Oryctolagus cuniculus: one gene and its partner. The protein of the gene in region 1 binds, or shares a complex with, the protein of each later gene. Links are inferred from orthologs where the notes say so. Each region holds a gene or a part of one and is shown on either strand. Other genes may lie near its edges.

The links. The genes of interacting proteins can lie anywhere in the genome.
Region 2: QRSL1 (region 1) and GATC share a complex: the UniProt entries of both Homo sapiens proteins name them as parts of the heterotrimeric GatCAB amidotransferase (AdT) complex. The link is inferred for Oryctolagus cuniculus from reciprocal best matches to the Homo sapiens genes QRSL1 and GATC.

What each region holds. Positions count from the first base shown.
Region 1 is NC_091436.1:64,567,231-64,573,825, forward strand, and holds part of QRSL1 (glutamyl-tRNA(Gln) amidotransferase subunit A, mitochondrial), read right to left. Parts: intron 3,679-6,595; coding exon 3,473-3,678; intron 1-3,472. UniProt on the Homo sapiens protein: Allows the formation of correctly charged Gln-tRNA(Gln) through the transamidation of misacylated Glu-tRNA(Gln) in the mitochondria. The reaction takes place in the presence of glutamine and ATP through an activated gamma-phospho-Glu-tRNA(Gln).
Region 2 is NC_091452.1:16,476,878-16,483,825, reverse strand, and holds the start of GATC (glutamyl-tRNA(Gln) amidotransferase subunit C, mitochondrial), read right to left. Parts: upstream 4,727-6,948; 5' UTR 4,688-4,726; coding exon 4,607-4,687; intron 4,529-4,606; coding exon 4,356-4,528; intron 1-4,355. Other genes in the region: TRIAP1 (TP53-regulated inhibitor of apoptosis 1), read left to right, coding at 4,795-4,941. UniProt on the Homo sapiens protein: Allows the formation of correctly charged Gln-tRNA(Gln) through the transamidation of misacylated Glu-tRNA(Gln) in the mitochondria. The reaction takes place in the presence of glutamine and ATP through an activated gamma-phospho-Glu-tRNA(Gln).

The DNA of each region.
Region 1 (6,595 bases):
CCTGAAGCACCGGCATCCCATATGGGTGCCGGTTCTAGTCCCGGCTGCTCCTCTTCCAATCCAGCTCTCTGCTATGGCCTGGGAAAGCAATAGAAGATGGCCCAAGTCCTTGGGCCTCTGCACCCGCATGGGAGACCTGGAAGAAGCTCCTGGCTCCTGGCTTTAGATCGGCGCAGCTCCGGCCATTGTGGCCATCTGGGGAGTGAACCAGCAGATAGAAGACCTCCCTCCCCCTCTCCCTCTCCCTTTTCCTCTCCCTCTCCTCTCTCTCTGACTTTCAAATAAATAAATATTTTTTTTAAAGAACAAGGAAGTTTTCCAAAATTAATGAGGATAGGTCTAGAGGATGCATACAACTTGATGCAATTTGGCTCCAACTGGCCAAATTGAGCATGATTTAACTATCAAAAATAATGATTACAGTAATTCCTTTTAATACATCGTATAGAAACAAAGAGAAAAGCTCCTCTTTGGAGAAGTCTTCTAACTAATACCAATAGGAATGACAGAATTAGAGATGTCGGCATTTGGTAATTCTTTAGACAGTGATTTAATTCAGGTCAGAATGATCAGTGGCTGCTAGAACTGGATTCAAAATTACTGAGCAGTGGCTTATTCACCGGGTATCCACGTATCACTTATAAATTCCTTTTAAATGACAAAAGCAATGATGTATCTTGATAAAGAAAACATATAGCAGCTACCTCCTTAACAAAGTGATCAACTTAGTGTCCCAAAGTGGGACAAGCTGCTATAACTGTTTCCTGATGGGAAGAGTACATAGGATTTCTGCCAAAAAGGTTTAGCTAAATCCAATCAGAAGTTACCAATATGATAAATCCAGATCATGAGTGGACCTCGTAAAGCACAAATGGATTAGACTCTTCAAAAAGAGTCAGTGTCATTTAAAAGAAAACATTTAAAAGGTGGAGGATTTCTGATCAGAGACTGCAGGACAGAAGAAAGTGGCACAGGTTTTTTTTTTTTTTTTTTTTTTTTTTTTTTTTTTTTTTTTAATAGAGTTAGACAGTGAGAGAGAGAGACAGAGAAAAAGGTCCTCCTTCCACTGGCTCACCCCCAAAATGGCTGCTCCGGCCAGCACTGAGCCAATCCGAAGCCAGGAGCCAGGTGCTTCCCCCGGTCTCCCATGCGGTGCAGGGACCCAAGCATCTGGGCCATCCTCCACTGCTTTCCCGGGCCACAGCAGAGAGCTGGACCAGAAGAGGAGCAACTGGGACTAGAACCCGGCACCCATATGGGATGCCAGCGCCACAGGTGGAGGACCTGCCAAATGAGCCACGGTGCCGGCCCTGGCACAGTAGTTTTAAAGTGCTTAAGGCAGGAACTATTGAACCAGATCTTACCTCCAGCAAAAAACGAAAACAAAAAACACCTTTAAAAATAAAGCAGAAATCAAGACATTTCTGAAGGAAGGTTAAGAGAATTTGTCACCAGCAGGCCTATCCTAAAAGAGTGGCTAAAAAAATTCCTCTAAATAGAAAGGAAGGGATTAAAAAGAACACAATAAGTAAAAGCATGGGTAAATACAGTAGACTTTTCTTTTCCTCTTGAGTTTCCTACATTATAATTGATGATTGAAACAAAGTCAGAGGCCAGTGCTGTGGCATAATGGGTAAAGCTGCCGCCTGTAGTACCAGCATCCCATGTGGGCGCCGGTTTGAATCCCTGCTGCTCTGCTTTCCATCCAACTCTCCACTGATGGCCTAGGAAAGCAGTAGAAGATGGCCCAACTGCTTTGGGCCCCTGTACCTGCATGGGAGACCTGGAAGAAATTCCTGGCTTCTGATAGGCCCAGCTTCAGCTGTAGTGACCATTTGGGGAGTGAACCAGTGGATGGGAGATCTCTCTCTCTCTCTCTCTGTATGTAACTCAACTTTCAAATAAATAAATAAATCTTTAAAAAAAAACAAAAAAACAAAATCAGCCAGATATATTTCTAAAAAAAGCAAGAGAGATGGGAGATTGTTCTAGATTTTAAAAAGATATCATGGCCAGGCTCACTAGGCTAATCCTCCACCTGTCGTGCTGGTACTCCGGGTTCTAGTCCCGGTTGGGCCGCCGGATTCTGTCCCGGTTGCTCCTCTTCCAGTCCAGCTCTCTGCTGTGGCCCGGGAGTGCAGTGGAGAATGGCCCAAGTGCTTGGGCCCTGCACCCACATGGGAAACCAGGAGGAAGCACCTGGCTCCTGGCTTCGGATCGGCGCAGCGCCAGCACTAGCGGCCATTTGGGGGGTGAACCAACGGAAGGAAGACCTTTCTCTGTCTCTCTCTCTCACTGTCTAACTCTGTTAAATAATAATAATAAAAACAAGACATCATAAACAAATGTAATATAAAGGGCAAAACCTTTTTTTTTTAATTTGAAAGAGTTAGAGATCTTTTATTTGCTGGTTCACTCCCCAGATGGCCACAACAGCCATGGCTGGGACAGGCTGAAGCCAGAAGCCAGGAATCCCATCTGGACCTCCCATATGGGCGCAGGGGCCCAAGCACTTGCCATCTTATGCTGCTTTCCTAGGCCATTGGCAAGGGGCTGGATCAGAAGTGGAGCAGCCAGGACATGAACTGGTGTCCATATGGGATGCCAGCATGTATAGCTTTACCTGTTACACCATAGCACCAACCCGAGCAAAAACTTTAAGATATTTTTGGGACAACTGATAAAATCTGAATATGCATTATATTCAGATTCTTACTGAATTATTGTTTTCTTAGGTGTGATAACAGGATTGTAATTATGCAGAAGAATGTCTTTATTCTTAGAAGGGTCATGCATTTGGGGTAAAGTGTCATGGTATCTGAAACGTTCTTTCAAACGACTGGGCAAGAAACACTGAGTGTGTGTGTGCATTGAGACAGACAGAGAAAAAGAAAGTAAATGAGGCAGTCAGTTTACAAAGAAGAATTCAAGAGGAGAGCGTGTGGGTATTCATTATACTACTTTTTCAACTTTCCTATAGTTTTGAAAGGTTTCAAAACATATACCTTTTGAGAGTAGGCATTTGGCATAGCATTTAAGATGCCACTCCGGACACCCACACCCCATATTGCAGTACCTGGGTTCCAGCCCAGGCTTCCTGCCAGTGAACACCTGTGAGCAGCAGGTGATGGCTCAGGTCCTTGAGTACCTGCCACCCATGTGAAACACGCAGATTGAGTTCCAGACTCCTGGCTTTGCTCTGGCTCAGCCCCAGCTGTTGCAAGCATTTTGGATGGGAGATCTATGTCTGTCTCTCTCTCTGCTTTTCAAATAAAATGAAAATAAATAAAAATGGAAAACATACACATGTGAGTGTGTGTGGCAAGTGTGTACACACATGCACACACACTCCAAAAATCATGGAATACCGGTTACTTCTTTTAGCGGACGATCTGTCTAGAACGTAAGCTGAAGACGAGGCTATCTGTTTAAGAACTGGAAGAAAGCCAGAAGGTTCTTGAGGGATCCTCACCTGCCATATTTACAGCCTGTGTAAAAATATCGTCCTGAGCACTTCGCGTTCTGTTGTCTTCTTGGATGAACTCCAAATACGGCACTGCCTCTCTCAAGGTGGTGGGAGTTAACAAGACATCCACTCCGGAGTTGAAAACATTCACAAAGTCATTAGCAATGAGGCGTCTCACTTTCTGTGCTTTGATGAAATAATCCTCATAGTTTCTGCAGGAAAAAAAAAAAAAAAAAAGAGGCTCTGGTAAGGGCTTTTTATATTTTTCCTTGAATCAGTTCTCTCTCACGAGGCTTGTTAACGAACCACTGGACTCTTGGCTTTTATGAGCAGGCATCACTAAGATTCCTAAGAACACACACAGATGACTTTTGTCCTACTGTAACGTTATTCTAGAAGATTGACTATCTAGAAATTGATCAGAATTCACTATTAAATATAATTCCACACATATAGGGGACTTCAAAAAGGTCATGGAAAAATTTCATTAAAAGATAAGTTTGCTTTGGTGCGAATTTGAAATCCCTGTATAGTTTTTCTCATGATACACATGAACTTTGGAAGATCCCTCAACATGCACAGATTTCAAATATTTTTTGCACCAAAATACACTTACCTTTTAACTCCATTTTCCATGAACTCTTTGAAGTCCCCTCGTGTAATCACAAAATATTAACACTTCCAGAAACATCACTAAACCAGAACATTCATTTGCAGGTGAGGAAAATCAAGTTCATAGCAATTATGTGACCTCTGAGAGTTCCGGAGATAGGGAGTGGAACAGGAGACTAGACCGCAGATCTCCAGAGGCTCACCCCAATCTCCTTTCTACTATAATACTTTATTTCATCTATAGAATGATGATAGCTAATTATTTTGAAGACTCAGAGGTTTTGCCAAATTCTTTTTTTTTTTTTTTTTTTTTTTTTTTTGATAGGCAGAGTGGACAGTGAGAGAGAGAGACAGAGAGAGAAAGGTCTTCCTTTGCCGTTGGTTCACCCTCCAATGGCCGCCGCTGCAGCCGGCGCACCGCGCTGATCCGATGGCAGGAGCCAGGAGCCAGGTGCTTTTCCTGGTCTCCCATGGGGTGCAGGGCCCAAGCACCTGGGCCATCCTCCACTGCACTCCCTGGCCATAGCAGAGAGCTGGCCTGGAAGAGGGGCAACCGGGACAGAATCCGGCGCCCCGACCGGGACTAGAACCCGGTGTGCCGGCGCCACAAGGTGGAGGATTAGCCTATTGAGCCACGGCGCCGGCTGGTTTTGCCAAATTCTAACATGCCATCTGGATCAGATACTAGGAAACACTCCCAGGAGTAGTTCCTGGTAGAATCTGGAAAAGACACTGAAGAAAGCATGCAGTGTTTGCAGTTTTGTATTTTAGGCATAGCCTAGGAATGAAAAAGTTGGGATTCAAGAAAAGATCCTCACTTGACTGAAAAGGGAAAGAGGAAAAAGCCAAACATAGGAGTAACCATGGCTAAAGATGCAAACCAAGGAAAAAGAAAACTTTTATTTTTATTTTACTTTTACAGTTATTTATTTGAAAGGAAGAGAAATGGAGACAGACAGATCTTCCACCCACTGGTTCACTCCCCAAATGCCTGTAACAGCCAGGGCTTGCCCAGGTGAAGACAGGAGCCTGAAACTGCATCTGGGTTTCCCACGTGGGTGGCAAGGACCCAAGCACATAAGTAATCATCTGCTGCTTCCCAGGGTGCGCATGAGCAGGAAGCTAGACCTAGAAGCAGAGCCAGGACGCAAACCCAGGCGTTCTAACAGGCGATGCAGAAGTCACAGCAGCATCTTAACTTGATGGGTCAAATGTCCCCAGGCAAACTTTCTTAGATCCTTATGAGGTTGTTAAAGAAGGCTGGCAAAAGAACTAACTGTTGTAAATCTCAGTTAAACTGCAGAAGTGGAGGTAACAATTCCAGCCCTACTGAGCACTACCTAAAACGGAATGAAAGTGTGAAATGCTTCTTACCCAGAAGAGTTGCTCTAGAAATTTCTCAAACTATCATTTGATTACACAATGTATAGAGATGAATGCAGGCATCTCATAAAATTCACACAACAGTAATGGCAGTTGGTCATTTGAATACTGTATGAATAGCAATTTAAAAACCTGGATTTTATAAAACTAATGTTTTCTATTAAATTTCTTCCTACTTAAAATATGCTTCAAAATTAGAATTTCCAGTTCCATACGTGATAGAGTGATAGGGATGGGAGTTATCTTGACTTCTTAAAACAACCAGAAGGGCTGGCACCGTGGCTCACTTGGTTAATCCTCCACCTGTGGCGCCGGCATCCCATATGGGCGCTGGGTTCTAGTCCCGGTTGCTCCTCTTCCAGTCCAGCTCTCTGCTATGGCCCGAAAGAGCAGTGGAGGATGGCCCAAGTCCTTGGGCCCTGCACCCGCATGGGAGACCAGGAGAAGCACCTGGCTCCTGCCTTTGGATTGGCACAGCGCTGGCCGGAGCGGCCATTTTGGGGGTGAGCCAGCGGAAGGAAGACCTTTTTCTCTGTCTCTCTTTCTCATTGTCTACTTCTGTCAAAAAAAAGAAAAAACAACAGAAAACCGGATAAAATACATGAAAACTGTTTTCAGACAACAGACCAAAACGGTGCTTAGGAGACAGAATTTGGAGAGCAAGAGAATAAATGAAATAGGGCCCTTGATTTCTCCAGCTTAATGCCTAGAGGCAGTTTTTGGGCTCAGTCCAGAGAGAAGGAACCTAAGCAGACCTAAGCAGAGTTTGGGAGACAAAGACAGGGAACTGAAGTTCAGGGAGAAAAAGATCGTGAGAAATTGTAAAGTAGCGAGTAAGAGGGAGTAGCACACAGAGAGCGCTCAGCATGCAGAGATCCCTGTGCCTGGGTGAGAAGAAAGCTCTGAAGCTCGAGAAAGGGTCACCAAAAGGCAGCAGCCAAGCAATTCCTAGAGCTCATAGGGGCTGGAAGTAGCAGCTGAAGTGGGGAGAGCTGGTACTGCATGTGGCATATAGTAGAATCTCAAGGGTTTCGCCGTAAAATGGAGTGACAGAGTCCTGGCTATACTGCTTCTAATCCAGCTCTCTGTTAACATGCCTTGAGAAGGCAGCAGATGATGGCCCAAGGACTTGGG
Region 2 (6,948 bases), on another chromosome or scaffold:
GCCTGGCACAGAACTGACTATTGTGGCCACTTAGGGAGAACCAGTGGATAGAAGATATTTCTATCCCTCTCTTGCTCTGCTTTCAAATAAATCTTTAAAAACCCTGCCACTTTGAATGCCTACATGCCACTAATCTAGCTTACTATTAGCACCACACTCTAACCAACTGAGCTAACCAGCCAGCTCCGTTAGCTTACTATTAATACATCCCAAGAGTCAGCAAATGATGGCCCAAGTGCTTGGGTTCCTGTCACCCACATGGGAGACCTGGATGGAGTTCGGGGCTCTTGACTATGGCGCTTTAGGACATTTGGGGAGTGAACCAGCAGATGCAAGGTCAATTGATCTCTATCTCTGCCTTTCAAATAGATGAAAATAAATTCGCATTAAAAAAAGAAAAACTGAATGTGAATTACTAACACAAACTGGTTTTCTAATATACAGAAGGTGCAAATCACTGAATGCCAAGTTGAGATCCCAGCTAGTAGATCCAGATCCCTCATCTTTTTCACAAAATTCCCTTTGTATTTTTTTTTTAATTATTCATTTATTTAAAAGGCAGAGTTACAGAGAGGCAGAGAGAGAGAGAGAGAGACTTCTATCCACTGGTTCACTCCCTAAATGGCTGCAACTGGGTCGGTCTTTTGGGAGCCAGGAACTGTTTCTGGGTCTCCCATGCGAGTGCAAGGGCCTAAGCACTTGGGCCATCTTCTACTGCTTTCCCAGGCCACAGCAGAGAGCTAGATCAGAAGTAGAACAGCCAAGACTCAAACTGGTGCCCATACAGGATGCTGGCGCTCCAGGTGGTGGCTTTACCTGCTACATCAGTGTCAGCCCCTCCCTCTGTAATTTTTAAAAATTTACTCATTTGAAAGGCACAGTTAGAGATGTCTTCCATCTGCTGGTTGACTCCCCAAATGGCTGCAAACTCAGGTATGGGCCAAGCCGAAGCTAGGAGCTTCATCTGGGTTTCCCACCTGGGTGCAGGGACCCAAGGACTTGGGCCATCTTCCACTGCCCTCCCAAGCACATTAGCAGGAGCTGGATTGGCAGTGCAGCAGCTAGGACTCGAACCAGCACCCACCTGAGATGCTGATGTTGCAGGTGGCAGCTTAACCCACTAAGCACAACACTGGCCCCTGATTTTATTCTTTATAGTTACCCTCTAGGTGATGGAAGATTCTGACTCCTCTTCAGGCTTCTGTTCCTTCCTTTCCCAAAGATACTAATAAAGAACAGTCTTTCAGTAAATGTTTACTGAGTATCTATTTGGTGTTACACATTGCAAACATGAGCAGAAATAGACATGCTCCCAAGAACACAGATGAACAGGAGAGGAGCAGAGAAATCAGGTGTCACTCAAATAGATGTGTGAATAGGTGTATTGTACTTACTGAATACCATGAAGAGTCACATGTCCTGAAAGAACCTAATTCAGTACAATGAAGGGGCCAGCAATGTGGTACACCAGGTTAAGCCACCTGCGATGCTGGCATCCCATATCAGGAGCCCCAGTAGAGTCCTGGTTGCTGCCCTTCCCATCTAGTTAACTGCTAATGTACTTGTGAAGGCAGCAGGAAATGAACCAAGTGCTTGGGCCCTTGCTGTCCACGTGGGAGACTAGGATGGAGCTCCTGGCTTCCACCTGGCCCAGCCCTGGCCGTTGTGGCCATATTTGAGAAGTGAATCAGCAGATGGAAGATCTCTCTCTGTTCAAATCTTGAGAAAAAAAAAAAAAGACTTCTTAAGGAGGTGGCATTTGAAATTTGAAGTAGACAAAAAGAGGAGTGGTGGGAGTGAAGGCCAGGCCGGAATTCTAGGAAGGAGAGCGCATGAAGAACTGAAAGGCTAGGTTTGATGACTCCCTGCAGGCTCCACTGATGCTGTCTTCACCCTAAGGAGCAGTGTGAAACCTCCAGGACGCAGGCCACAGAATGAAAATCAGATTCCATTTTGAAGTGCAGTGTAATAGCAGATTCACTGCCCTGACCCGAGTGCCAGATTGCAAGGAAGAAGAAAGGTTGGAAGAAAGCGTGGCAGTTAGGAGCAAGACTCACACAAAGAATGTAGTCGCAGATCGTCTGGCTGGGCCTGTTCACTAGCCAAAGGCAGCGAATCTTCCTTGCGTCCACTTGCAGTTAGGACTGCTTTTGTCTATTATTTCTACCAAGAAAAGGCTAGGATAGTTGTCAACTGTCCCTATGATTATGAGCTATGTAGTAGTTGACTTTATAACAAATTACCAGAGACAGGCTGCTTTATAGACAAAGTTTATTTTGGTTTATGGGCCTGAGGTTCACAGTCCAGGATCAGGTGGGTCCCCAGTTCAGCAGCTATGTCTGTGTTGATCTGATTTGTCTGACCCTTTACAAGGCCACCAGGACTCCAGTCAGGGCTCCATCCTAATGATCTAACTTAATCACCCAGGGCCCCGCCACCCAGCACCATGATTGAGTTAAGTTTCTGCTCAGTTCTGTTAAGTGTTTGGGGACTAACATCCGGCCTGACTCTGGGGGAGGGAGCACAGCAAGTCACCCATCCTCCTGTCCAAGCAGCTGTAGCCCCCGACAGCAAATCAAGTGTGCTGCTGGGAAGCAGCTTTCCCCAGGAAGGCGCTTCCTTTCAAATTAAGATCTGGCAGCAGTTGGTAGAGGTGGGCGGAAACCGCTCCTGCTGTTCACAGCTGCTTTGTCAGCAAGTCACCTGTCCCCACTGCATGACACTGCGCTACTTCACTCACTGATACCGCTGCTCTCAGGCACATTATGTGTGGGGGCCGGCGCTGTGGTGTAGCAGGTAAAGCCACCGCCTGCAATGCTGGCATCCCATATGGGAGTCCTGGCTGCTGCACTTCCGATCCAACTCCCTGCTATTGTGCCTGGGAAAGCAGTAGAAGACAGCCCAAGTGCTTGAGCCCCTGCACCCGGAAGAGGCTCCTGCTCCTGGCTTCGGATCAGCCCAGCTCCGGCCATTGCAGCCATCTGGGGAGTGAACCAGGGAGTGAGTGAACCAGGCAGTGAGTGAACCCTCCCTCTCTCCCTCCCTCTCTCTCTGCCTCTGCTTCTCTGTAACTCTTTCAAGTAAATAAATATATCTTCAACAAAAACAAAGTTTCCTTAACATTCCCATGAATTAATCATTTTGTGAATTTCTTGCATTTGCTTCTGGGGAACACAACTTAATTATACACCAGCAGATGTAGACTACACATATGGTATGAACAGTGCTGATTTTTACACTTGATCTTAGCCAAAAGGCCAAGAAGCAATGTGTACTGGGTTTTTAAAAGGATTTATTATCTATTTCAAAGACAGATATTACTTATTTCAAAGAGACAGGGAGAGAGAGCTTCCATCCTCTGGTCCACTCCTCAAACAGCCACAACAGCCAGGGCTGGGCCAGGCTGCAGCCAGGAGCCTGGAACTCCCGTCTGGGTCTCCTACGTGGGTGGCAGGGGCTCAAGTACTTGGGCCACCTTCTGCTGCCTTCCCATGCACGCTAGCAGGCAGCTGGGACTGGAAGTGTCACAAGCAGCGGCTTCACCTGCTGCACCACCACAAGGGCCCCAAAGAGTACTGCTCTAATGCTGCCTTTAAAGAAAAAATAGGCATGTCTCAGAGACTTCTCCATGGCAGCGTATATGATGCTATTTGTAGGCTGATACGCGATACACACAAATAACATGTAGTTGTTTCGTTATTTTTAAACTGCTGAATATTCCATTGTGGAAGTGTGTATTTGCCATTTGTTTAGGTTGTTTCTGGGTCCTGTTTTTCGTGTTCTGAAAGGTTTGCCATGGGCTTGTGCCTGCGTCTTGCTGCACTTTCACAGATACTTCCTTAGGGAATCAGTACATCAGAAAATGCATAAAATCTCGAGACAGCAAGCAGCTCAGTGAACTCACACTGTAATAATAACGACAACAAATCAACGCAGGAAACCCCCAACGAGACAGAGTTGGTGACTGGAAGGGGAGAGGGGATTCGGAGTGCCAGGGGGCCACTCTGAGGAGATAAGCCGAGGTCAAAGAGCCAAGGAAGGAGGAGCCAGCCGTGCAAACTCCGGAAGGCAGAATGCACAAATGAGAGCCGACCCGGCCGGTCGCGGAAGCAGTCGGGGAAGCCAGCCTAGTGGCAGCACAGTGTGTGAGACCCCAGGGGGAGGTGCCTCCACGGCGAGGAGCGGCCGTTCGGATTTTGCTCCCGCTTACGTTGGGCGGGCGCGGGGATTGTAAGCGGGAGTGACAGCATGCATAATGAACACATGTCGCTGTGAAACGGGGGCTCCAGCCGCCACCTGCAGCGGCCTGCGGAGGTGCCTCCGTCCAGGCCGGGGGGCCGCAGCCGCGAGCTTACCTGTCCTCCAGGACCGACTCCATGGGCTCCACGCCGTCCGTGTCCACCTCGCGCAGCCGGTCGGCGAAGGCGATGGCTTTCTCCAGCCGCGCTACGGCCTCCTGACTGCCGAAGTCCACGAGCGCTAGACGCTCCAGGTGCTCGATCACCTCGGCCGTCACCCGGCCACTTCCCTGGGGAATGAATCGGGGAGGGTGGGTCACACGGACGCGGCCCGCTCCGCCACCCGCCTAGACGTCCCGGGCCTTTACCTGAGCATCCGCCTTGGCGGTGAAAGCCCGGAACCCACCCAGGGGAGCCCGAAGGCCCAGCCGTACTGCCCGCGCCCACATGTCTCCCCTTCCCGGCACCCGTAGTGCGCCACCCGTAAGGCCGAGCGACGCGCTTAAATGTGACGCCATCAGGGTGCGCCCCTGCCGCCTCCTTCGCAGCCATCGCCATGAACAGCGTTGGGGAGGCGTGTACAGACATGAAGCGCGAGTACGACCAGTGCTTCAATCGCTGGTTTGCTGAGAAGTTCCTCAAGGGGGACGGCTCTGGGGACCCGTGCACCGACCTCTTCAAGCGTTACCAGCAGTGCGTTCAGGTGAGCCGCCGACCCACGTCCCGTGCTCTCTGCCGTGGGCTCCGCCACATTGCTTACGTCTTGCCGTGGCTGGAACCGAGAGCGGGGATGAGGGCCGTAGTGAGGGCAGCGGCAGGAGCCCTCTCCCCGCCCATCAGCACCGAAGCCGCCTGGGTGCCTCGCTGAAAGGCCAAGTACATATTTTCGCAGTGTTTTGCTTTTTATAGAGCACAGTGACATCCTTTGGCTCGTTTGGTGCTTATTCCAAACTTACACAGTGGGCAGAGTTGTTCGTAATTTGTCCATGGCAAACGACACTCAGAATTAACGGGTTGGGCTGGAGCTGGGAACTCAGTGCAGGTCTCCCGGCTGGGACACAGGAACCCAATTACTTGAACCATCACCGCTGCCTCTAGGGTCTGCATTGGAGCAAAACGAACCCGGGCACCCAGATAATGGGACGCGGTCGTCTTAGCAGCTTAGCCGCTTAGCCAAAACCTGACCCTCAACCAATACTGAGAGCGGCTGACAGCTCAGAGGGTTAGTCTTTCTCCAGCTTTTAGGCACTATGGAAGATCCCATCGTTTTGTTGTTAAAATCAATCTTTCTTTCTTTCTTTCTTTCTTTCTTTCTTTCTTTCTTTCTTTCTTTCTTTCTTTTTATTTATTTATTTTGGACAGGCAAAGTTAGTGAGAGAGAGACAGAGAGAAAGGTCTGCCTTTTTCCGTTGTTTATTTTGGACAGGCAAAGTTAGTGAGAGAGAGACAGAGAGAAAGGTCTGCCTTTTTCCGTTGGTTCACCCCCCAAGTGGCCGCTGCATACCCGGCGCACCGCGCTGATCCGATGGCAGGAGCCAGGTGCTTCTCCCATGCGGGTGCAGGGCCCAAGCACCTGGGCCATCCTCCACTGCACTCCCGGGCCACAGCAGAGAGCTGGCCTGGAAGAGGAGCAACCGGGACAGAATCCAGCGCTCCAACCGGGACTAGAACCCCGGGGTGCTGGCGCCGCAAGGCGGAGGATTAGCCTAGTGAGCCGCGGCGCCGGCGTAAAATCCTTTTCTTGGCCTATGTCTGTCTCAAGCAGTCCTTAGCTGCGGCTATGAAATTTTCATGCAGGCTCAGTGGATGTGGAACTGCTCTGAGTTACAGTAGCACTGAGCCAGGCCTTCCCAAGAGGGTAACCGAAGTCAGCTTCACACTGACTGTGAGATGGTTGCTGTCTTTACCCGTTACTGACGAGGAAAGTGAGGTCGGCTCAAGGTCACAGCCAAGAAGTCCTGGCACCCATGTTTGTACCCATGTCTGTCACAAAGAAAAGGGGGAGACTTGTCATTCAGGTTTCATTTTTGAATTTTAATGGCTTCTCACAACTCCTCTTTTAATTTCTCTGGTTTTACACTTGGTTGCTTCATAATAGAACTTCTGTCTGTTTAAAAGTGATCTGGATAAACAATAATATAAATGTGTGGTTTGGGGCAGGTGTTGTGGTGCAGCAGGTTAAGCCACCGCTTGGGGCACCTTCATCCCATGGTGAAGTGCTGGCTGAGTCTGGGCTACCCACTTCAGATCCAGCGTCCTGCTTATGCAGCTGGGAATGCAGCAAATGATGGGCCAGTTACTGGGGTCCCTGCTACCCACCTGGGAGAGCTGGATGGAGCTCCTGGTTCGTGGCTTCAGCCTGGGCCAGCCCCAGCTGTTACAGGCATTTGGGAACCAGCAAATGGAAGATCTATCTCTGTGTGTCACATGCTATTCAAATAAATAAATAAATAAATGACCTGCAGCATGGTTGTGAATCCTGTTTATTTGGCAGAGAGAGGCACTCCATCTGTTTGCTGACTCCCTAAATGTCTGCAACCTAGCCAAAGCCAGGAAGTGGTAACTCATTCTCTTCTCCGGGTGGCAGGCGCCCAATTACCTGAGCCATCGTTGTTGCCTCCTGAGATCTACGTTAGCAGGAAGCTGGAGTCAGAATCTAGAAATTGGAGATGAGAATCAAACCCAGGTACCCAGTGTGGGATGTGGGGAC